4 linked regions of the Drosophila melanogaster genome follow. The protein of the gene in region 3 interacts with the protein of the main gene of each other region in a pairwise test. Each region holds a gene or a part of one and is shown on either strand. Other genes may lie near its edges.

What was found.
Region 1: the proteins of Nek2 (region 3) and Plp interact in a two-hybrid assay, tested with the Drosophila melanogaster proteins (one study listed by BioGRID).
Region 2: the proteins of Nek2 (region 3) and Cep135 interact in a two-hybrid assay, tested with the Drosophila melanogaster proteins (one study listed by BioGRID).
Region 4: the proteins of Nek2 (region 3) and ana1 interact in a two-hybrid assay, tested with the Drosophila melanogaster proteins (one study listed by BioGRID).

What each region holds. Positions count from the first base shown.
Region 1 is NT_037436.4:15,087,167-15,092,053, forward strand, and holds the start of Plp (Pericentrin-like protein), read right to left. Parts: upstream 3,028-4,887; 5' UTR 2,653-3,027; coding exon 2,626-2,652; intron 1,388-2,625; exon of another isoform or gene 1,160-1,387; coding exon of another isoform or gene 1,145-1,159; intron 1-1,144. Other genes in the region: sstn (stepping stone), read right to left, coding at 4,188-4,887.
Region 2 is NT_037436.4:15,114,934-15,119,774, forward strand, and holds the start of Cep135 (centrosomal protein 135kDa), read left to right. Parts: upstream 1-1,803; 5' UTR 1,804-1,927; coding exon 1,928-2,026; intron 2,027-2,087; coding exon 2,088-2,162; intron 2,163-2,540; coding exon 2,541-2,667; intron 2,668-2,727; coding exon 2,728-2,880; intron 2,881-2,977; coding exon 2,978-4,373; intron 4,374-4,441; coding exon 4,442-4,652; intron 4,653-4,714; coding exon 4,715-4,830; intron 4,831-4,841. Other genes in the region: CG13458 (uncharacterized protein), read left to right, coding at 1-34, 106-513, 574-850, 911-1,017, 1,075-1,370.
Region 3 is NC_004354.4:7,888,550-7,893,410, forward strand, and holds Nek2 (Nek2), read right to left. Parts: upstream 3,098-4,861; 5' UTR 2,951-3,097; coding exon 743-2,950; 3' UTR 517-742; downstream 1-516. Other genes in the region: Acat1 (Acetyl-CoA acetyltransferase 1), read right to left, coding at 1-121; ND-MNLL (NADH dehydrogenase (ubiquinone) MNLL subunit), read right to left, coding at 4,581-4,751; CG45089 (uncharacterized protein), read right to left, coding at 4,773-4,861.
Region 4 is NT_033777.3:24,528,791-24,536,620, reverse strand, and holds ana1 (anastral spindle 1), read right to left. Parts: upstream 6,046-7,830; 5' UTR 5,836-6,045; coding exon 5,707-5,835; intron 5,630-5,706; coding exon 4,020-5,629; intron 3,943-4,019; coding exon 3,819-3,942; intron 3,763-3,818; coding exon 436-3,762; 3' UTR 226-435; downstream 1-225. Other genes in the region: CG13623 (uncharacterized protein), read left to right, coding at 6,320-6,363, 6,425-6,800; CG6607 (uncharacterized protein), read right to left, coding at 6,969-7,058, 7,118-7,639, 7,693-7,830.

The sequences.
Region 1 (4,887 bases), on a different chromosome or scaffold from region 3:
TAAATTGTAATTTACATACAATTCAAGTCCGTACTGTATTTTGAACGACTGAAAAATATATTTTCCATATTACACATACGCCATGTGGGTCAGGCCGTAACGCTTGACAAAGTTTTCACAATATTAGCGGAAAATGCTTGTGAAAAAGTTATCCAATTCCCGGCCACATGGTGGTTTGAACGTCCTTGAACTTGTCAGGACAAAGACAACAACAACACATTCAGGAAGTACCAGCACAGCGATAAGGATATCGGGATAACAAGTTTGCACCTATAACCATGACAACGGATTTTCTTTGAGTGTGCGTGAAAAACGAAAACGAAAGTCTTTTACATTCCTTGCAAACATTTCAATTTGTTGCTATAGTTTGGACCTCTTTTGTGGGCCGTTGTTTGGGTGTGACACACATTTCAGTTGGATCGTCTGAGGTTTTTGCACTTCGGCGACTAATAACAACAATGCCACTCCCCTTTGGAACGGGAAAAGGGGCGAAGGACCTAGCCCAACGTCTCTGTTAATGGCGCTGACGCCTTTCCTTTGATTTTCCACAAGATATTGTCGATAAACCCTCAATAATGGCACGCATATTGGCGAAAATGATTAAATTAATAGCTTTGCCTGGCGCAGAATTGACAGTGAAATATGTTGGACAAAAATAAATTCGGATTGGAGAAAGGATTTTCTTTTGCGTTGCTATGAAGAAAGGTTATTTCATTTAAAGGGTTTAGTTTAATATAAATTCTTAAACGCTTGCATTTAACATTTTCATATTTTATATAAAAATTTACATATGAACACACAATTTATATGATTGTGAAGTAGATGATGAATTGCTTTATATCCTATACCCGCATTTTATTTGATTTACAAACCAAATCTTTTACAGCATTATTCTTTCAAATAGTAATTCTAATAAATAATATTCAAGAACAATTAAGAATGAGATCGTATCGTAACTAAATTTATAGAAAATATGGTAAATACTGTATAATTTTCTCTAAGTACACTGCAATGCAAAAAAAATCCACTAATTTGGTTCATTATCATGCGGTTTCGAATGATATTAACACACTTTGGCTGGCGAGTGATGCAAATGTCACTGGGCGATGCTAAAGATCACATTGCGGACAATAACTGAACTCACATGCAATTTCCCCATTTCGCTGCCCGCCACTCATTCGATTCAATTCAGCGATGAAGAAGTTATCTCAATTAAATGCAATTTACAATCACTTAAAAAGTCCATATATCGACAATGGCTATTGAGGGTTACATTGTGCAAACTTCTACGTATATGCAAATGTTTCGTAGATTTTTTTAAACAATTTTATGGGATCACAGGCACTGACACTGCACTCTTATCTTTATAGAGCTATAAATGTGCGGAAAACCGAAAAACGACGACGCGACCGCCTGCAGTGCAGGTTCTTTTATAAATAAAACGCCCGAAGAGACATTCAATTGAAATCAGTCACTCAATCCGAGGAAAATCAAAAGAAAAGCGTTGGAAAAGAGCAGCCACGGGAGAGGCCGAGCGATTGAGAGCGAGTGCCGCGGAAATTTGCAACGCGGTTCCAAGCGGTTCCGTGCACCGAATGTTCGCTCCCATTTTTTATTTATAAACAAAATGTGTGTGTGGAACATAAATTTGTTTGGAAGATGGTGATAAATGCAAAAGAGTAGTTTTAAAAGCATTTAGAACTATTGTTTTACGATTCGCGATTGCGATTGATACTGAAGTAGCTATATATATAAGTACTTAGAATTAGTATTATAATCAGAATTAATGTCCCTCAAAAACTGTTATATTTCATTTTTTATAGTTAGTAATTTATAATTATTCTATAATCATCATAAAACATTTTAAGTTAAGTTTAAAAACTTGAAGTTCAAATTTTATTTTAAAATTTGTATACAATAACAATTTAATATAAGAAATTCGAGCCATTAATCATTTCGATGAATATTAAAAATTTTTGATCATTTTCGTATACATTATCCAAAAATTTTCATCGTATTGCGGTACATGTATTAGATTTATTCAGCAACAAGTTGCAGAAACATTCTTTCCTCAACAAAATCGATAAGCGAATCGGTTATTGTAGCGAGACATTTTTTCAAAAATATGAATATTGATGTTTATAATAAACAGGGAAACAGTAGCCAAGATTCACTAATAAATGTATTAGTTATTTAACAAAGCAATTAAAACCGCATAATGTGGACAATTCAATTATAATTTTCACTTAAAAAGTTGCTCTATAATAATAAAAAGTATGCTATTCAATGATATAAAATATAATACTTATTTAAAAAATAAAATATTATTTAAAATTCCTAATCCGTTGGGTATTTTTCACTGTAGATTGTTTACAGATTTCGGAAGGGCCTTGTGGTCTTCTAATCGAAAGTTCAAAGGCGCATTCAATTTCGATTTCATTTGTAAACACACTTGAAAAACAACATGTTCTGTTTGTGGATCGTAATGAATTGAAAACACACATATCAAGGCGCATTCAACCCACATTTTGTGGATTTTATGCACAATCCGAGAGCACAGATGATGGATGTTCGGCTCCCAAATGGGTTAATACTTTAATGGATACCCCTGATTGTTTGGCTTACCCAATCGTATATAGTGTACAGATTCATGGTGACTGCACTTGAACCAAATAATTTATGGCCTATTCCCTGTTTTTTGGCCGCCTTTGTTGACACTTGCGCCTGTCAGTTGGCTATATCTATAGGCATTCTAGATGTGGCCCAAATGCGATCCATTTTCTTGTTGATGTTTTTACGTAGTGGTTTTGATGACACTATATTTTAGAATTTTTTCGGGTTGACTTGCTTACAAACACAGACGAATGCAACGAACCGAATAATTTTGTAGGTTAGGTTGGAGACTTTACGTAAAATTTGATATTTTTTTAATTTAAAGTTTAACACGAAGACAACACAATGGGGGAAACTAGCTACTTAAAGCGTGAACTCTTAATTTATCATTATGTGATTTTCAATGCTCCTCGAGGGAGAAAGAACCGACAAATTTGAAACTTAAAAACAAAAAAAAACCAATAGTGCAACCGATCTGAAACAGTTGCACGTAATAGCGAGCGCGATGCAACTGAGAACCAAATCCATTGCGAAGAGTCTTTATATTTTTGGGGTATCGGGGGATATCCACGCTCTTTTTCTCCCCATCCAGATACTGTAATGCTCAGTGAAGCACAACAAGAGATTGTTTAAAAATAATCAATCGTAAACAAAATTTGTTGCAGTGGCATTGAGTTGGGGAGAGTCCAAAAGAGAGAATTCAATGTACTACTACCAGATCGCGAGAGAAACAAAGAGAAATCCGAGAGATAAAGGGGAGGAAAGTAATTAAGTTTTATCGGTTGTTCTATAAATAAGTTTTAACCAGAGATTAAGGAACTACAAGATATATTCGATAAGGAATGATTTAAGGAAGTGAGAACACATTTATGGGTATAAATGAGACATTTATTTATAGGCTAGGGAAATATAAAGCTTTCTTTTCATTTCAATTATTCAAAAAATCTGAAATGCTACAAGAGCATTAATAATGTTTTGAGAAAAATATTGGAAGTTCAACGAAATATTTGAATGCTTAAATATCAATAAAAACGCACTCGCATATATTTTAATATAAAATATTTATTTTTATCTATTTGTTATTGCTTGTCGGTAGTTAGTCTTAAGAAAACTCGGTGAATATATCAGTATCCAATCGGTATATTCATATAAAAATATCATTCGATTAGGGTAAATATCCTTTATACACTTATTAGTTAGCTAGTCAGTTATTTGTTTATAAATGCTGTTAACTATATAAAATATTTCCATATTTTCTAGGCATCCTGTTGTAAGGCGATTTCTGTCCCCCTCGGGGATAATATTGTCCTGTGTTTTTTGTACTTTAAAAATTCAATACAAAATTTGAATGTCGTTCGATAAATTGCTTTCAATACGTCAGTTTTCAATTTGGCAGATCTTTTGAGCATTGTTATTTTCTTGATCCTAAATAATTTGGCTAACGAACTTAAAATTCGAAAGGAGTCCAATAGTTTGAGCTGCTTTTGCTTTGTAGTTTCTCAGTGCTACAAAATTAGTTTAGTTAATCACATTAAAAGGTGAAAGTGCATGAGAATTCCGTACAACCTTATAGGTCAATTAGGATTTCCGCCCTCCTTTTGCTTAAACTTGGTGGAGTATTTGTAGAAATCGGACATCTCGAAGGGTTTCGTCACTTCCTTGTACGGCTGGAAAGTGGCCTGCTGAACTACGGTCATGTTTTTGGGCGACTCGATGCGAATTTCCGGCGATAAACTGGCTGTGGCCACTGTTACTGGCGGTGACACAAGCGCTGTTTGGACAGCATTCCCATGAGCAAGTCCGCTTGAACTGCCATTACCACTGTGACTTAGGTTCTGGTTCTGAGTATGAGCCTGATTTGCGGGTGGCGGTCTGGGCGGCGGCGTTGGCTGCTGCATTTGACTTGGCTTGGGTGGTAAGTTTCGCAGTGCTGGTATGTCCAGAGGTTCCAGCGGATACGATACCGATATCCCCAAAGTTTGCTCCATTGCATTGAGATACGAAGTCGATTGACTTAGCAGGGCTTTCGAACTGGTATTCACCGCATAGCTGGCACTGGGATAATTCGGAGTCGGTCGCTGGTTGGACATGGAATAGTGACGACCCGCTACCGACATGGACTGCGAGGAGAGCTTAGCGCGGGGTTTACTTGAAACCATGGCAGCTGCGCCGGGATTACTACTCCCATTACTACTCCCAGCTGGACTGTGGGGCTGTGAATCCATCTGCCTGATAACAGCTGGCCCATCTAGCGAAGATTCCAGCCACTGCTTG
Region 2 (4,841 bases), on a different chromosome or scaffold from region 3:
TGCTACGCCCTGCGCCAGACGGTGGACCGCAATGGTGAGTGTCTTTCGGCGATTCACAAATTCATAAATCACACTAATTGCCAATTTTGGATGGGGCGGATGCAGGTCACGAGATGTTCTACAAGTGCGGCGACTTCAGTGACGAACAGTTCCGTTCCTTCCGGATCGTGTGCATTCGCCAGGTGGAGAAGGAGATGAATCGTCAGCTCAGCGCAACGGAGAGAGAGTTGCTCCTATTTCCACTGATCTGCGCCGACTCAAAGTGCCGGGAGCATCGCTTTAAACGTCTATCCATGTGCGGTGGATGTGGCGAGGTGGCTTTCTGCAAGGATAAGCCGGAGCACCGAGGCAAGGAGCACGCCAAGTGGTGTGGAGCCTATCAGATTTTCAAGGCCTTCATCATGTTTCAGGAACAGTTCGGCCGCATGGAGCCATCACTGCCCAGTAAGATTCTTAGAGAGCTGCCCATGGCTTGCTCCAACACCAAGCAGATGATGAAGAAGCTAAGCTTTAGTAAGTAAACACGAAGTATTCAAGGATTTTATTATAATGTATTATTATACTGATTTAAAGATGTTACCAATGAGTGTGAGTACGCAGCACTTACCCAGGTGTCCACTGGCCCATTAACTGCCTGGTTTGCCTTGAAACTTTGCGAGCGCCTCAGAAACTGCGAGGAGATGACTCTTCACTTAATTGGAGCCGAGATCGAATTTGAGGCGGATATGCTGCAGAAATGGGAACTCTTCCTGCTCCACATAACGCCAGCGGTGAAAACTCTGAATGTGGTCTTTGTTGGACCTGAACTTAATCCTAATAATATATCCTTTGAACAGCTAAAGAAAATCAAGTGAGTTACACTTTTAGTTAGTAGTTTAAACATTAGTCTAAAGATTATCAATCTATTTAGATGCTGCCGTTTCTGCAGAAAAGCCCAGAGAACGGTTAACTATCATTTTGAGAATAGTTTATATCACGATTACTGCAGAGAATCGCACTTTCTTCAGCCGAATTTGAGTAAGTTAACACTCATTTAAGCGAAACTAATAATAATTATTATACATAAATTCATAGTTTGCTTCTTTAACTGCGGTCTGTACCGATCAACTGGTTTCGCTCTGGAGGATACTTGGCCAGATACCATTCAAGCTGCACTCAATCTCAACTGCCCCATCGTAGTTACTTCCTATACAAAATACGAGGCCCCTTTGGATATGATTCAATTTATTAACCAATCGAATCGACACTTAAATGTCGTAATGCCGCCAACTGTAAATCCGTTTTCCTCGGAAAAGCCAGAACGTAATTTTATATCAGATAATGAAGCGTCTTTTATGTTTAAGAACTTTTACTGTTTTGTTGTTGATTAATCGCAGTCCACACCTTAGTTTTTTTTTAATAAAAAGACAAATATCGAACAATTCTGATTTGGACAAGGTCAATTATTTAGTAAAGCCTGGTACAATTCTAAAAGTTTAAAAAATTTGTATTATAATTTGGTTTTTTAGACATAGCCATAGACACATGAACAATAATAAAATTATTATATTGAAATATTCGGTAACTTCTTTTCGGTTGCAGTACATACCTGGTAAAATCTATGAATTTTCATAAAAAATATAAAATTTTGTTCAGCTTTTATATTTTATTTTGAATGTAACGTTTTTTCTGGGCAATCGATGTTATTTTTCATACTGATTTCGATACATTTGCGTTCGATAATAAAATACTAAAACAAATTTTCGATTGATTTCCTTGCTGAGGTGTGATGGTCACTTTCGATAACCGATATATTTAAGGAAATATCGGTTGAAGTCCGGTTTTGTTTTGATTTGATTGAATAGCATTGTTTTCATTGCGCATTTTCTGAAATTTAGGGCATTTAGGAGAAAACTTGTGATTTTTTTGCTGTTATTAGTGTTTTCCCATGAATATCAACGATGGTGACTTTAAAGACCTCCGCTGCAAACTGGACATCATGGGTTTCACACAGACGCTGCCCGTTTTGGCCATTCCACTGGTTCAGGTAATATTCATACCCTGTAATATTAATTTTTTGGCATAATCCTGTACCTTTTACATTGCAGGCTGTTTTCGGGGACCTAATCAAGACCACAGAATGTTTGAGGGATACCAAGAAAAAGGTGGCCGAGCTGCTGGAGGTGGGTATACCAGTAGAGAGTACAAGACCTTTGGGTTTTCTCGATTATATATGTGTAACTATAATATTATCACAATTTCTTACTGAAGAGATTCAGGTTGGTGCTGTTAAGATAAAAAAGAATTTGTCAATCTAAATATGATTATAATTGTGAGGATCCCATGAGAAACTTCTTTTCAGTATTCTTATTCTATATACGCCAAATATGCTTCATTTTTAAGGGCAGACTATACAATTCAATTGAATCCCTAAAATTAAGCGTGAAATACTTGCAAGGATATTTACACGTTAGCTTTTTAAGCCCACGTTCTTTCTTATATGTTGTGGTTTTTCAATTGGTTGCTAAGCAATCCTTCTGTTGTGGCTTTCCTTTCGGCAGGAAAAGACCTGTTGGGAGCTGGGCGTCGAACCCTACAAGTGTGACAACTCTCGCCTGCTGGCCGAGTGCAATGAACTGCATCTCCAGTTTTTGAGGGACAGGGAGGACTACGAGCTGCGCCTGTGTGGTATGTTGTAATCGATTTTAATTTGATTTTTAACTCTATTGCTGCCTTAAACTTTTTCAGAGTCCGAGCGAAAGATCCGAAATCTGGAGTTGGACAAGCAGCATTTGCAGAGTCACAACGATGGACTTCAAAGGCAACTGGACGCTTTGCTTACCAAGCAAATGGTTTCATCAGTCACGAACAAAAAGGCGACAGCTGGCATTGGACGTCAGAGTAGGTCTAAGAAAGATATTTAACTAGAATTGGATCTCCCTGAGATACTATCTCTATCTGATTCACGTTGGTTTTATTAAAATGTTCTGCTTTCCAGCCAAAAAACCCTTTATAACCACAGTGCGTTCGGGCATTGCGATGCCAACTACACTGGGCACTAGCAGCAGTGCTCTTAAATGCACAAAATGCAATGCTGGGGTATTCCAGAAGACCACCACAACGACCAAAGACGGTGTGACAGTGACGCAAACCAGTGGACAGGAGGAGTTAGACAAGATGCAGAATGATCTTACGGCAGCCGGAGAACAACTGGAGTTCTTCAAGCGCAAAGTGGAGGCCAGAAATCGGGAGATTCGCCGCTTAAACGACATGCTAGCAGGAGGGCGTCCTTTAGCGGCTTTGGCCAAGGATTGCTGTTACAAGGACGTGGGCGCCCTCTCCCAGGACATCGATCTGTTGCAACGCGAGAAGAGCGATTTAATGATGCAAGTTCGAGAATTCCAGGACAAGATGCACGATGCTATGCAGCGGGCTCTAAGCTCCGAAGAGGATAAAATAAAGCTCCAAACGCAGCTGGAGGAGCTCAAGGAAGCTGCGTTGCAAGTGGAACAGCAGGCCAATGCGGAAATCGATGCCAAGGAATCGGAACTTAGGCAACTGCAGTTGGAGCTTAAGAAGAAGGGAAAGGATCACCGACTGACCGGTGGCTTTGCTTCCAATCAAAGTGACAAGCATAATCTTAATGAACGCTTAAATCTTTTGACTCGTCGTGAAGAGGAACTACAGGCCACAAATGAAAAGCATAAGAAGAAAATTCAGAAAATGCAAGCAAAGATATTAGAACTGCAGAAGGAGCTCAAAGATCAGAATAAACATTCCAACGTCACCCTGGATGAAGAGAAAATACGCCTGTCATCAGAGCGGGACTTCTTCCAGAAGGAGTATCTGCGTCTGATGAGCAAGACCGGATCCGAGTCGGAGATCGCCTTCTTGCATGCCCAAATTAAATCTAAGGACGAGGAGTTAAAGGCCCTGCGATCTGAACTGTTTCATGGAGGAAAGCAGCAATTTTCCCCACAAAAAAGTGTGCAGTATGAGACACTGCCGCCCCCCACAGCTTCATCCATTACCTCCACCGTTACTAGCAATACGAGTGACTGCGTCCAGGCGGCCATTGCAAGGGTGGAGCGGGAACGGGATTGCGCCAGGACCGAGCTAGAAAGGGTTCGTTGCGAGCGGGATACGCTGAGGGAGAAGCAACTGAGCACTGTTCAACTTCATGCCGATGAGCTACAGGCTCTGCGCCTGCGAAACGAAGAGCTTAACGATCGCCTGCGGCAAATGGAACGCGATAATCGGGAACTTAACTCGGCTCGTCTGCCAACTGAAACGAATCTGGTGCTGCTTAAGGAGGACTTGTTGCAAATGAGGCAGCGTGTGGCATCTATGCAAACCGAAATTGACCAACTAAAGACCGAAAATGATCAAATAACGTTAGTAACAATGGAATTGCTGCTAAGCTTTCATATCGTTTATAAATTTGTTATTTATTTATTGGCAGCATGCTCAACGATCAAAACGAGCGCATCATAGCGGATTATCAGAGTAAACTTTTGGTGGCCGAGCGTCAACGACAGTCGGCGGATGTTCGGGCCAGCACCTTGGACTCCAGTCGGGAATCCAATCGCAGCGAGGTTACCCAACTCCGCATGGACTTAGGAGCTCTGCGGCAGACCTATATATCGTTAGAACACGAGAAGGATACGCTTCTGGTAACTTCATTTAATAATATATTTTCTAGAGATATTAACAATATTGTTATTTGCTTCACTAGCATCAATTGGATACCAAAACTGAGCGGGTATACAAACTGGAGTATGAGCTAAAGGATTGCAAAGAAAAACGGAATGCCCTAGAGCAGAATGTGAAGGACCTGGAGGATCAATTGCGGTAAGTGTGAG
Region 3 (4,861 bases):
GACTTTGGAAGCTGCCAATTGGTGTGCGGGCTGCCGAAACCACCACAACTTCGGCGATTTTGGAGCTGTAGTTGCGATGGGCGCTCCAGCGACGCGTGGCCTGCAGCAGTCGGGCGGACATCTTGGAATTTAATTAATTTGTATTAACTAGCACAGCAATCACACAGGTAAATGGCAAGAATCCAATCAGAAATCACGCCAGACCTGTTGCTTGCGTAACAAACCGGTAATCGGTCTATCGATAGGCAACAGCTGGCGCGGTAAAAGTGTTGGCAACTGTTAAATAAGATTAAAGCGACTGGTAATTTTCTATTAGTTAGCATTCTTTAAATGTAATTTTTAATTTTTGCTGTTTTAAGTATATTGCTTGAAAACTACGCTGTAAAGATGCAATGCTAAGTTTATATATTCTTTTTACAATACCCAGCACTGAAAATGCGTAAATTGAACTTAACGGTTACAAGCGAACAACAATAAATAAAAACACGAAAATTGAAATTTTAAACACAAATGTATCTCATTTCATCAATATTTATTTTAAGACTAATGCAAATTGCACAATGAATGGCAGCTGAAAAAACTGGAATCTTAATGCTAATAATACGTGTTTAAAATATGGCATTCAAAAAAATTTTTGCATAAAAAAAATGTAAATATTTCGGAACTTATTCCACATCACAACGCTCATAGTCTCCATGGTTGCCATGGCTCCTGGACTGCACATCTTTCCTGATCAATTTGATCAGATCACCATCTGGTCGCGCGTTGTTAGCTTCTGATGGCCAGTGGCCACCACCAAAGACCTCCGCATGCGGTTCCGCTGCAGCGTGGAATTCCGTTCCCTCACCGATTGCCGCAGATGCTGGCGACGTGCTCCTCCGGGTCCAGAACCAACGACTCCACCTCCGCTTGCCTCCCTCTCGGCTGCATTCATGGCCGCCAGCAGCTCGAAGGCTTGTTTCTTCTGCTCCTTTGTCCAGAGATTGGCCACTGGTGGAACTTCTGCCGGCTGTTCCTGCGTGATCGGTGGCTTGACGGCCAAAGGAGGTCGCTGCACGCGAGTTGCAGCTGCTTGGGCTACCTGGTTGACCGATGGCAAGGATTTGGATGTCGCCTTGGATCCGCGACTCAACCCGAAAAGCGAGAGTATAGATTTCCTGCGGGTGGAGGAGGCCTGGCTGTCACCGGAATCATTGCTGGATACGCTCATTTGCATGGGAACGCCAGTGGGCGGAGGATTCACTGCCGGTTTAACCGCCGGTGGGGGCATATTCTCGATACCATAGGTAACAAACTTTTGGGGCGACTTGAAGGTAACCTTACGCAGAGTATTTAGCGATTTTGGTGCCGGAAGTGTGGCTAAATTGAGTTTAGCCACCGTGGGCGACGTCTCGTTGAGTTCGATAGTGCAGTAGGTGTCATCATGGTGCGATTTCGCTGGCTTCCTAGGAGGAATGGGCGGAGCTATCGGCTGTCTGCAACTACAAGTGTGTTTCTCCTGCTGAAGAAGTTTTTCCTGCATCTGCCGCTCCAGCGTTTGCACGCGCTGTTCGGCCAGCTGTAACTCCTGCTCCCGGGTCTGCAGCTCTTCGAGCTTCTGCTGCAACAGGGATTCTTGGGCACGAATGGCGTGGAGACGGGTCTTTAGTACTTCATCGAATATGTTTTGGGTAAGAGCACGAGGACTGCTAGGGGCCTCCTTTAGAAGCTCCTGATCCCTTTTCTGCTGCTCCTGATCCTTTTTACGGCGCCGCTCTTCCGCCAGTTCCACCTGCCTCTCCTCCGCTCGCTCCTCTCTCCTTATACTTTCATAAAGAGAGGGATCCGACAGCTGTAGTTTCTTGGCAGGAAAGATTTTGCGCTTGGCGGAGTAGAAGAGTTCACTTCGCAAATCTGGAGTAAACACACCAGTAACGCTGAGTCTCCTTTGCCCATAGCCTTCATTGAAGCTGTACTGTTCCGTAAACATGGTGCTCGATAGCTCTGGATGAACTCCATCTTCCTCTTCGTCCTCGAAAAGCCTGGCACCCGAAGGCAGTGTGTAGAAATCCTCTCCAGAATCAACTAGAATTGGGAACTTGCCATCCAACTCGCTAATATTACGCACCACCAGAGGATGCCGAATGATAACCTCGATGCCAGGACGCTGTTCATGATCCACTGCCAGCATGAAGGCGATGATCTCCTGCAGATCAGTACTATAGATTGCCGGAATCCGACTGAACTCACCCTGGGCGATCTTCTCGGACAACTGGTCAAAGGCTCTGCCGCGAAACGGCGGTCTTAGGGCACACATCTCGTATACCAAACAACCAACGGCCCAGACATCGCTCTTCCGATCGTATTTCCTGCCCTTCACCAACTCCGGACTCATGTAGTGCGGAGTGCCCACAAAGGAGGCGGCAAAGCTCTGATCTCGTCGCAGCATTCTGGCCAGACCGAAATCTCCCAGTTTGGCATTCCCGGCCGCATCCAGGAAAATATTTGCTGGCTTGATATCGCGATGCAAGATGGTTCCGTTGGGGATTTTGTTGTGGCACACCTGAAGCGCCCGGCAAAGTTGGAAGAGCACCCGCCAGATGTAGGGCTCCTCAAACCGCTGCCTCTGGGATCTCGCTCGCTGGACAATCTGGGCGAGATCGCCGCCGGCACAGCACTCCATAACAATGTACACCGACTTGGCCTCTCGGTTCACCAGATGATGGTAGTATTGCACAATGTTAGGATGCTGGAGCTGCCGCAGAACACTGATTTCCGAAACCAAAGCGTCGCACTTGGCCTCGTCCAGTTCATCGTAGTTCATTCCCTTCCAGGCGAACAATTCACCGGTGCTTTTGTCGCGCACCTTGTAGCAGGTGCCGAAGGATCCATTCCCCATCACGGCCAAAACCTCGTAATCCTGCAGGGTCTTTTGCGAAAAGTCCATGCCGGCAGATTCCTCTCCGCTCATTTTGCCTTAAGTCTTTTTTTTACTCTTTGGGTATTTTGGGTATTCCGCCGCCGATTACAAATGATCCGCTTGCTACAAAACCCAAACACGATTTGAGACTGGTTTTTGGGATGCAGGATTTCTGGAATTCTCATTGCTACCTGCAAGAACGGGAGAGAGAGCAACAACAAGTGCGCGAGAGAGAGGTTTAAGTAGTGCCGCTACCCCGCTAAATAGGGCGGAAGAATGAATATTCTAAAAACAAGCTAGATTTGTAATTTTTACAAAATACATTTTGCAAATATGCAATCTAATGATATAATTACATACATAAACAAATAGCTATTTCATCATTAAATTAAGAAATTGTAATATGGATTAAAATACAAAACTATTTAAAAACCAATATACAAGACAACTACCGATTAAAATTGATAGCAGTCATTTCAACCTGACCTTCATATAAATAACCTCTCCATAAAACCCTTTCGCACCTGCATGCTAATGCCCAATTTGGCTATTTTCCCGCCGAGAGACACCAGCACTGTTATGTTATTGTTGCACGTCTGGATCTCTCGTTTCCTTCCAGGAACAAAGATCGTGCTATTACCCTCTCGCTCCCAACCACAGTTCAACGGTATCCACTTGCAAATCTCTGGCATCTCACCCTCTCGCTCACGCTCTCCCCCGCTGTGAGAGAGAGAAAGCCCTTGAAAGGCGAAAATCTGGAAAATCCGTTCCATTTGATCCCACTGCGCCTGTGTACAAACTACTGACCATTGGAAACAATGGTCTAGAGAGGGGCAGCACGCCCAAGAACACAATTCCAGCGATTCATCACGCTCAATTTTGGAACTCGAGCCCAAAACCGATCTTAAACCGGAATCCAAAACCGAGTACAAACCCCTAGCCCTGAGCCATAAAAATAAATTAGTTTTGTTCCATTGGCATTTCAATTTGCTGCCTTGTTTGTTAAAGTGGAAATGTCCTTATCGGATTTCATATTTCATATTTGAAGTGAGCGATTATCCATTCTGTCTAACGGTTTTTACTGGAAGCAGTTACATAGTACATATAGGCATGGTCGTGCAAATGAAAGTTTTTAGGGGGCTCATGCTTATAAAAGTTTTTTTTTTCTATTAATTCTTAAAAATCTCGATTCACATGTATTAGATAATTCAATGCCATTTAACGAAACTCATTTAAAAAGACTACTCTCGGTTACCACATTTCAAGTGATTTATGTGACATGCTCAAGAAGTTCTACAATAAATAATAAGAGTTTTGGTAGAATACACCAATGCTCTTCTAAAATATCCAGCCTACGCCCCTGATCCGAACTAAGCAGAACTCGCATATCGTGCAGCGATGCCCAGGTAAAATCCTTCGAAAAACGAGTTATCTCCTTGGATTTTTCATTGGTTTTCGGCTTATCGTTAGACGTGTGTTGAGGTTTTTATGTTTTTCCTGAGTAAAACAAACAATGGTACGCAATCCTTCACAAATAAATCACGTTCCCGACCGCAAATCTCGTCCGCTGGCCATGCAGGTAAACTAGACGACAGGCGTATTTCACATTTCTCCGGTTTATTGAATAACAGTGAATTGGGGGAAAAAAAATAATATTTTGGGATGGCGATGTTGGGCAGGCCTACCAGGATGGCGCCTTACCCTCGCTGCCGGCGGGACGGCCGTATAGGGCACTCTTGTCCCGGAACATGGTCATACGTTCCGTTTCCTTCTTGTCCAGGAAGTGGCCAATGGCAAATCCCAGCAGGGGCAACGCGCCCCACAGTGCTCGCTTATCCAGTCCCAAGACCATGGTGTATATTTGTGTATCCTCTTAGCGCTGATCCTTCAGCTGGGCTCGGTGTGCCAACTGGAGCTGCTGGCGTTTCCACTGGCGGGTGTGCGACCAATCTGCGTAAATCG
Region 4 (7,830 bases), on a different chromosome or scaffold from region 3:
GTAGACCGCCAGTGAATCGGATGTTTACTTACAACATGACAAAAGCTACTTACATTCTGGTACCGGACCAGAACTGAAACACCGAGGTCCTCAAAGGATCAGTGGGTTAATCTACTCACTAGTTAGACCATCAAATATATATATTGTTTATAAATTGTGTACATTACTGCAAGTCTATATTCATACAACCGAAATATTGTACTTGAAACTCTAGATAGAAATTTAATAAATAATCGTCGGGTTTATTAAAATATAAATAAGTTTCACACAAATTGGTAATAAAATTGTACATTTAACTTATTGAGTAAATTTTATACAATCTTTTTCGATAGTCATTTTTTGACACAAAATTGCAAAGTAAGTAAAATATAAATAATTGTCATAAAATGGATAATATAATCTAAAACCTAAACAAACGAATTAAAAGTTCGGCGATCATTTTCGGGGCGACTTTCGATGCGTTGTCCTGACACCTGATCCTATTTGACCTGAGGATTGGCGAGTTTGATTTGTACTAAGTTTGCTTTGTTGTTCAAAAGGAATGGGTGGAGTTCCATCTGGATAGTTAACCAGGGAGATGCGACTCTCCCCGGAGAACAGTTGAGAGCCGGTGTTACTCATGGACCCGGCCTTCTCTGGAATGGAGAGGAACGATCCCACTGGTGTGGATGTCTTTTGTCTGTCGTTTGTTGCTCCGGTGGCATGGCTTACACCCACTCCTGGCGTTTGCGTGTTGTTGCTGGGCGAGAGCGAATGTAGGACCGACTTCAGAAAGTGCCCCCTTAAGGACTCATCTGAACTCTCACTGGCAACGTCGTCGTGCACTCGATGTTTGAGGAGCTCTCTCGTAAGGAATTCCCTCAGATTAAGGGATCTTCCTATCTGGCTTGCATCCTGCACAGTGGAATCGTCCTTAGACCTATTGTTGTGCTCGTGGCCTCCACGAAGCCGAGACTTTCGTGGCCGCCGTTCTGGCGACGAGGCTGTGGTACTGCTGCACAACTCATCCACCTGCTGTTGCCTCTCATGCATTGTGGCATGCCAGCACGGACTTCTCTGATCCGCGTCGCTGGAAAAGTTGCTGCCGGAGAGGGGATCTATGCCACTCTCGTTGGGTTGATCGTTGGTCACTGGGGCGACGCTTTCCCGCCGCGTACTGCTAGCCACCTCCTGAGCCGTCAATGTGGTCTCAGTTGCGTTTCCTCGACGAAATGAGTTCTTTAGAATTTTCCGCTGGCGGAGTTCTTCCTCTACGTTAAATGAATCCGTGGAATCATTCTCTAAGCTAGCACTGTCTATTAGATCCCTCTGATCGGGTGGTTGCTTGGCCATAAGTTTTTCAAAGTATTCCCTGCGCTTGGGAAAGTCTTGGATACTATGAGTGATCACGCGCAGCTGTCGCATCAGTTCACCCGGTGACAGAGTGGCCTGATCTGCATCCTGACCTATCTCCACATGGATTCGGGTGCTAGTCATGTTATGAAGATAGGCATTAATGCTAGGAAACTCACGGTAGTCAGTTCCTTGATTGCGTTGCCTGATCGCGAGTATTAAGTCATTAAATTCGCCCTGCAGCCGTTGGCTCTGATCAGCATCCAACCGCGACAGATCTAAGTGCAGTTCCTTGGCATACTGATCGAAACTAGGGAATGGCTTGGGCACCGGTGTGGCGGCCACAATATGTGATTGTCCTGGCGTTTCCACTTCTGTAATGGTCGACAGCTCGTGCGCCAGATCCTCGGCGTTTAGTTGAGGACTATACCGACGAATCGTGGCCGGAGGTGCCCTTACTCGTCCGCGTGCTGTATTATTCTGCGTTGATGACCCAAGCGAGATGGGTTCCACATCGATACAAACCTGACCCTGTGCCGTAATTGGACGTGAGTCCGCAATGCCACTATCCCTGCTGGCCGCTGTCGGCTTGTGCTTCTGCAACGGCAAGGCTTCCGAGGTCGAAGGTGTTTGAGAATCGCTGCGATCGGAAATTGTCCGGCATCTGGTTTGCTGTTGTCCTGTTGGAAGCTCAAGATATTCAGTGGACTGCCGCTCGCCATCGCTGTTCGATGTGAGGGTGACCTCCACCAGTCGCTGCTTCTCCTCGCGCACTTTCGTGATCAGCTCTGTAAGTTCGGCGATCCGCTGGGTGCAGTTCTCCGTGAGCTGTGCATAGCGTTCCATGTTTCGGGCAGATGACTCCTCACTGGTGGATAGTGCTTTCGATTTTTCGGGGGCAAAGCGGTTTGTGCTTTTATCGGCGCCTGAACCTTGTTTTACAGTCTTTTGCTCCCTTTTTTGTTGCACTGCACCGTTTGTTTGCTGCTGCCGGTCCCCTTCTTGAGTTCTACGAATTTTGCCGCTTTCCTGTGGAGGTGCTGCATTTTTCCTATCTCCTTGTGGAGTCGGCCTTTCCCTTGGCATCTTTTCTCTTGTTTGCTCTTTCTCTTTGTTGGTTTGCTGACAATCTTCAGGATTCTTGGCCAAACGCTTGTTCCATATTTGATCGAATGCGCGCATACTTTTCTCTGCATCCAGCGATTGTTGCTCCCTTTGCAGCTGCTGCTGGCAACGTATTGATTCTTCCAAGTCATTGATTAAGCTGCGATTGTCGGCAATAAAGGTTTGCACCCGCTCCATGCGATGCTCGTTCATCTCCGTATTTTCATCCTGATCCCTTTCAGCTCTTCCCGCTTCAGGCTCGGGACAAGGGGTTACGTTTCTCAATGAGTTGATCACCGACGTTGATGGTGTGGTCACACACGAGGAACTCACACCCATCTCATCGATATTTTGGCGTGTCATTCCTAGCAGACGATTTATATATTGAACCACCATGGGATGTAATGGAGCAGAAGGGGGAGCGGCCGTGGTCATATTTTTATAGCTCACTGGCGGCAGACTGCGATAGGCAGTGGAGTTGGAATCAATGGATATCTGACGCTGATCCTGTAAGAATGGTCGCTTTCCGTGATCCTGTTCCGTCGGCTTTGGCTCATCGTCTCTTGGTGTGCTGTCAGTTGAGCCCAGGGGCACATCCTTTTCATTGTCGATAGCCGACGGCTTGGTTTTGGCTTTCGATTTTGTTCTCGGTACATATTGCTTAACAGTACCGTCACTCCTCACCTTAATAATGATCTCAACTGGCCCATCTTCTTTTGCGTTTGATTTTGGCTTATCACTCTCACTGGATTTTGCGTTTTTTGTCTCCTTGTAGAACTTTCTTAGACGCTGCTCGAGAATAGCCTCCTTCTGTTGCAAATCAGATTCTCGTTCGTTTAAAGTTCTCGTTCGCTCGGATAGAATATCAGCTCGCTCCTGACGTATATTATTCAATTCCTGTGCATTGTCACCCTTTGATGCACCTGACTCACCCGCCTTCAGTTCCTCCAACAGCTGGACTCGAATTTTCTCAATGCGCTCAAGCAAACTCTTTAGCCTCATCGATTTCAGTGAGTTTGACTGCTCGGCCTGCAGGTCCGACTTGAGTTGCTTGCTTTGATCATTAACGTAGTCGAGAAGAATGGAGCTGCAGCTCTCCGAGCTGCCAAGATTATCCCGGCCGATTTGAACAGGAGGTTCGCCCAAATTAACTGCCACAGAAGCTTTGGATTTGCTGCGCGATAAGTTTGGAGGAGTAGGTTTGGTGCGCACTTCCGGGCAGGTGATAATGGCTGGTCGAAGCAGCATTTCTTCCATTGCATCGTTCATCTTTTGCTCTCGCCTGGCAGCTGCATCCGCGTACCGATGGCTAGGTATAATGTTAGCCTGGTGGGAAAATGAGTTTGTATTATTTAAAGAGGAAAAATATTTGATTTCCTTACATCGGTTGGCAAGAGCTGCGGTTGCTGTTGCGTTAGAGCATCTAGCTTTTCCGTTAATTCAGCACAATCCCGACGCACTTGCTCGCGTTCAAGAGCCTTTTGACCACGATCGTCACTAATTTTCCTATTGAAATACGTTATTGATTTCAATTTGATTCATTAAGATAAGTTCTGTGTTCTGTTTCTTTTACTGGCTACTACCTCAGTTTGTCCAGTTCCTGTTCCCGCAGATCCCTCAGCTGGTTCTCGATGCGAGCATGATCCATAGCGGTCAATTGGGTGGCATCCTTCTCATTGCACTGCACCGACTGTGTTGGTGCTTCGTACGTTCTATGGTACTTATTGCTATGATCATAGAACTGAACACGCCCACATTGAGTCGTCCTTGGGTCCTGTCGCGAGGACATGGTAATTGTGGTGGTGGACACAGTGGATTGCGTAGCAGTGCTCGGTGGAGCAGTAATAGCGGGACCGAGTACAGCTGGCTGATTCGGCATCATTTGCTGCGGTGCATACATCGGATGAGGTTGTGGAAACTGGGCTTGCACGGGAAATGGCATTGAATATGGCATCGCATATGGTTGCATCGGAAGTTGAGCATACGGATGCATGTATGGTTGATTCTGCGGCATGGGATAACAATGGGTCATCGACGGATTTGGCACAGCTGGCATAGCCTGTTCTGGAATCGGTGGAAGGTTTCGAGGAGGTTCCACTGCTGGTTTCTGTATAGCTGTTACTTTGGGCAGCGTAGCTGGAGCTTTGGCCTTCTGACCTCTGTGTATTCCCGCATCTATCACCTTGGCAGGAGCTGGATTTAATTTTAAACCCGTTCTTTTGACTGATGGCTGGTTACGTGGTGCCGTCACAGTTTTCTTCGGCGATCCTTTAGCTGTTTTAGTGGGTGATTTTCTGGGTGCTGGAGCAGGAACGGGCTCCTCACGCTCTACACATTTTCTGGGCGATCTTGGCGGGGATTTGGTGGGACTAGGCGGGGCAGATACTGGTGGAGTAGGATCTGCTTCCCTTCGTTGACTTGGCCCAGCTCGTACGGTGGTCTCGGTTTTTCTTACCAAATCGCTGATCTGAGTGAATCTCGGCCGGCGTTGGGGTTCATCATCACTGGGTCGCACGACATGGCTGAATTTCCGGTTGGTTTGCATGAACCTATCATTTATATCCATACCCTCGGGATTCTTGTCGGTTTCAGAAATGGTTTCCTCGATTTCTACGTCTAGGATTACGGGGGTAGTTTTTTGGAGACGCCGGTTGCTGCTCGGACTCTCGATGATCAGGATGGATGAGTCGTCATCGGACGATGCGTCATCCTCCTTCTCATCCTCTGCATCGGTGCTGGCACATCCACAGCTGGTTTTCCTTTTGCGCTTGCCCTTGCAACAGGGTTTGTTACACCCGCTCTCCATTCGGTTTTCTTTGTCCTCCACTATGGGCGTTTGTGTTCCCGCCGAGGCACGTCCCTCCGCATTTAAATTCATTGTGTTTGTGGTCCGCAACTCAACGCTGGCTTTAGCCGATCTTTTCAAGGCCTGCTTGCGACACCTTCGGATTTTGTCGATTCTCTCTTGCCTCTGCTGCTCGATGCGTTCGTTCTCCTCCTTTGCGGCGCGATGGGCGGCGCCCACCTGGAAAATGGCCGAACGGTAGTCCTGGTGCTTTTTGACCAAAACATGCTCACGCCACGCATTTAGCTCCCTTTGCTTGACCTGCTCTAATTTGTGGATTTGACGCCTCTTTTCGGCAGCCACATCCTCGCGTATCTGGCGTGCCAGGTGGTTTGACTTCTCCCGCACCTGGTTATAAAATTAAGTGGTCACGCTTTGTGTTACAATTACTGCGCAATGGGCTCGGAACCCAAGGGACAAGTTACCTGCTTCAAACGGGTTATGCGACGCTCACTTTCGAGATCTTTGCGTACTTGCTCTGGATCGTCCAGTGGTCCTATGGTCCTCCTCAGGTTGGCCCCGAACTTTCCATTTACTGTTAGCTGCAGAGCCATCTGCTCTATCGATATATGTAATAAATTCGTATGTGGGGCAGCATTTACGCAGTAGAAATCGAAACAAGTTTGAGCGTAAAATCAAACAACCCAACGTCTTTAAAAATTCCTCCCAAGCGGCAGTGTGACCGTAGATGAATAATTGAATGTACTAGAATTTACATGCGTCTAAAATATACCAGCTGGTAAGTAGCACGCACTCAAGGCACAATACAAATTCGGAAATTAAATGATCGAAAAACTACGTGTTTTTTTTTAAATTATAAAATTTAATGAATGCAATTTGAAAGCTACATGACAATAAACTCAGTTTGAAAACGAAAACATCACAACAGCATGTACACAAGCCTAGATGGCCCAGTTGGGATGTATCGAACTATCGACACCTATCGTTATCGTGCGAAATCAGCTGAAATTGTTTGGATTACGAGATAGTAAATAGAAATATTGAAATTACATTTTTTGGCTGTGAAATCGTAAAATTATGGCGTTCCTACTGCGACAAGTGGCCAGGAGCGGATTGCAAAGGTGAAATAAGCTAGGAAAAATTGCGTGACAAATCCCACAATAAATGCTTGATCTTCCATAGAAATCTAATCCTAATGCGGCATGCAACCGCTTCCACATCCGCGAATCCCGAACTTAGTGTCCAGGTGAGCGAGAGCTGCTTGAAACGGCTCCGTGAGATCTGCGTGGATGGATCTTTCCTGCGTGTGACCGTCGAAGGAGGCGGATGCTCCGGCTTTCAGTACAAATTCGATTTGGATAAGCAGCTGAACGAGGATGACCGACAGTTTGGCGAGGCTGAGGCCAAGGTGGTGATCGATACAGTCTCGCTGGAGTACTGCAGCGGCGCCACCGTGGACTACCATAGCGAACTAATACGCGCCGGTTTCCGGATGGTGGCCAATCCGCTGGCGGAACAGGGCTGCTCCTGCGGCTCCTCCTTCTCAATCAAATTGTAAACTTTAAACTTTAGAGAATTATTTAATACACATAGAATGTTCAGTTATATACACGTCGAGGGTGGACAATAACAAAACAGGGTAGAGGGGGAGCGGGCGTTCCCAGTTAGTTATTTTACAACAATATACAGTAAAGCAGCTGGGCGGGATGCGCGCCGCTGTCCATGCTCATTTGCAGGCGGCCAGCTGGTCACTCAAGCTGATGACCTGCTCCGTCAGCACGCTGATTTGCTCCTCGTAGTTAATACGCGTCGTAGTCTAAGGAAATCCGAGATGTCACTTGGTTCTAAGAGCACAAAACTGCAGGCACAACTCACCAACTCCTCTTCGAGCATTTGCAGGGCTCCACCCAAACTGGCCAACTGATCGTCCTTGGCCTTAAGTTCGTGCGTTGCGTTCTCCAGGCAGTTTTGCAGGTGCTGAACCTCCAGCTCGTAGGATCGCAACTTGGATTCCGCTTGCACTTTCAGTCGCATCAGATCCTCGAACTTCTTGCTGAACACACTGTAGATGAGCTGCTCCTTGGTGGGCGGTTCGGGGGGATCCTGCAGCGAATCCCGCGCCCGCTGGCTGCCTTTCGCCTCCGACTCTGCCGGTCGAACGGTGACGCCCGCCGCCGCCGTGCTGCAGCTGCACGTGCTGAGATCCTTGCTGGGGTTCGAGACAAATGCTTGATGCAGCTTGGCCACTTCGAATTGAGCCCTCCAATGCGCCGCCTCCTTCTCGAGCAGCGCAATGCGATCCTCGGAGGTGAGTTGGTTGCTATTCGACTGCTGCTGGAGATTGTGTAGAGGAGTAGTATCGCTGCCGGTGGCGCTCAGTGCGTCCTCGCTGCCAAGCTGAAAGCACGCGAATCTTTGGGTAAATATTTAAAGAGAGATCTCAATATTACCATGCTGGCCGCATCAACCAGCTTTGTTTCCAGCTCGCTGTTCCTGTGCTGCAGCGTTTCCACCTCCTTCCTGAGTCGCTTCTCCAGTTCGTTCTGATCGCCGATGCGTTTCTCCAGCTTCTGTTCCAACGATGCTAT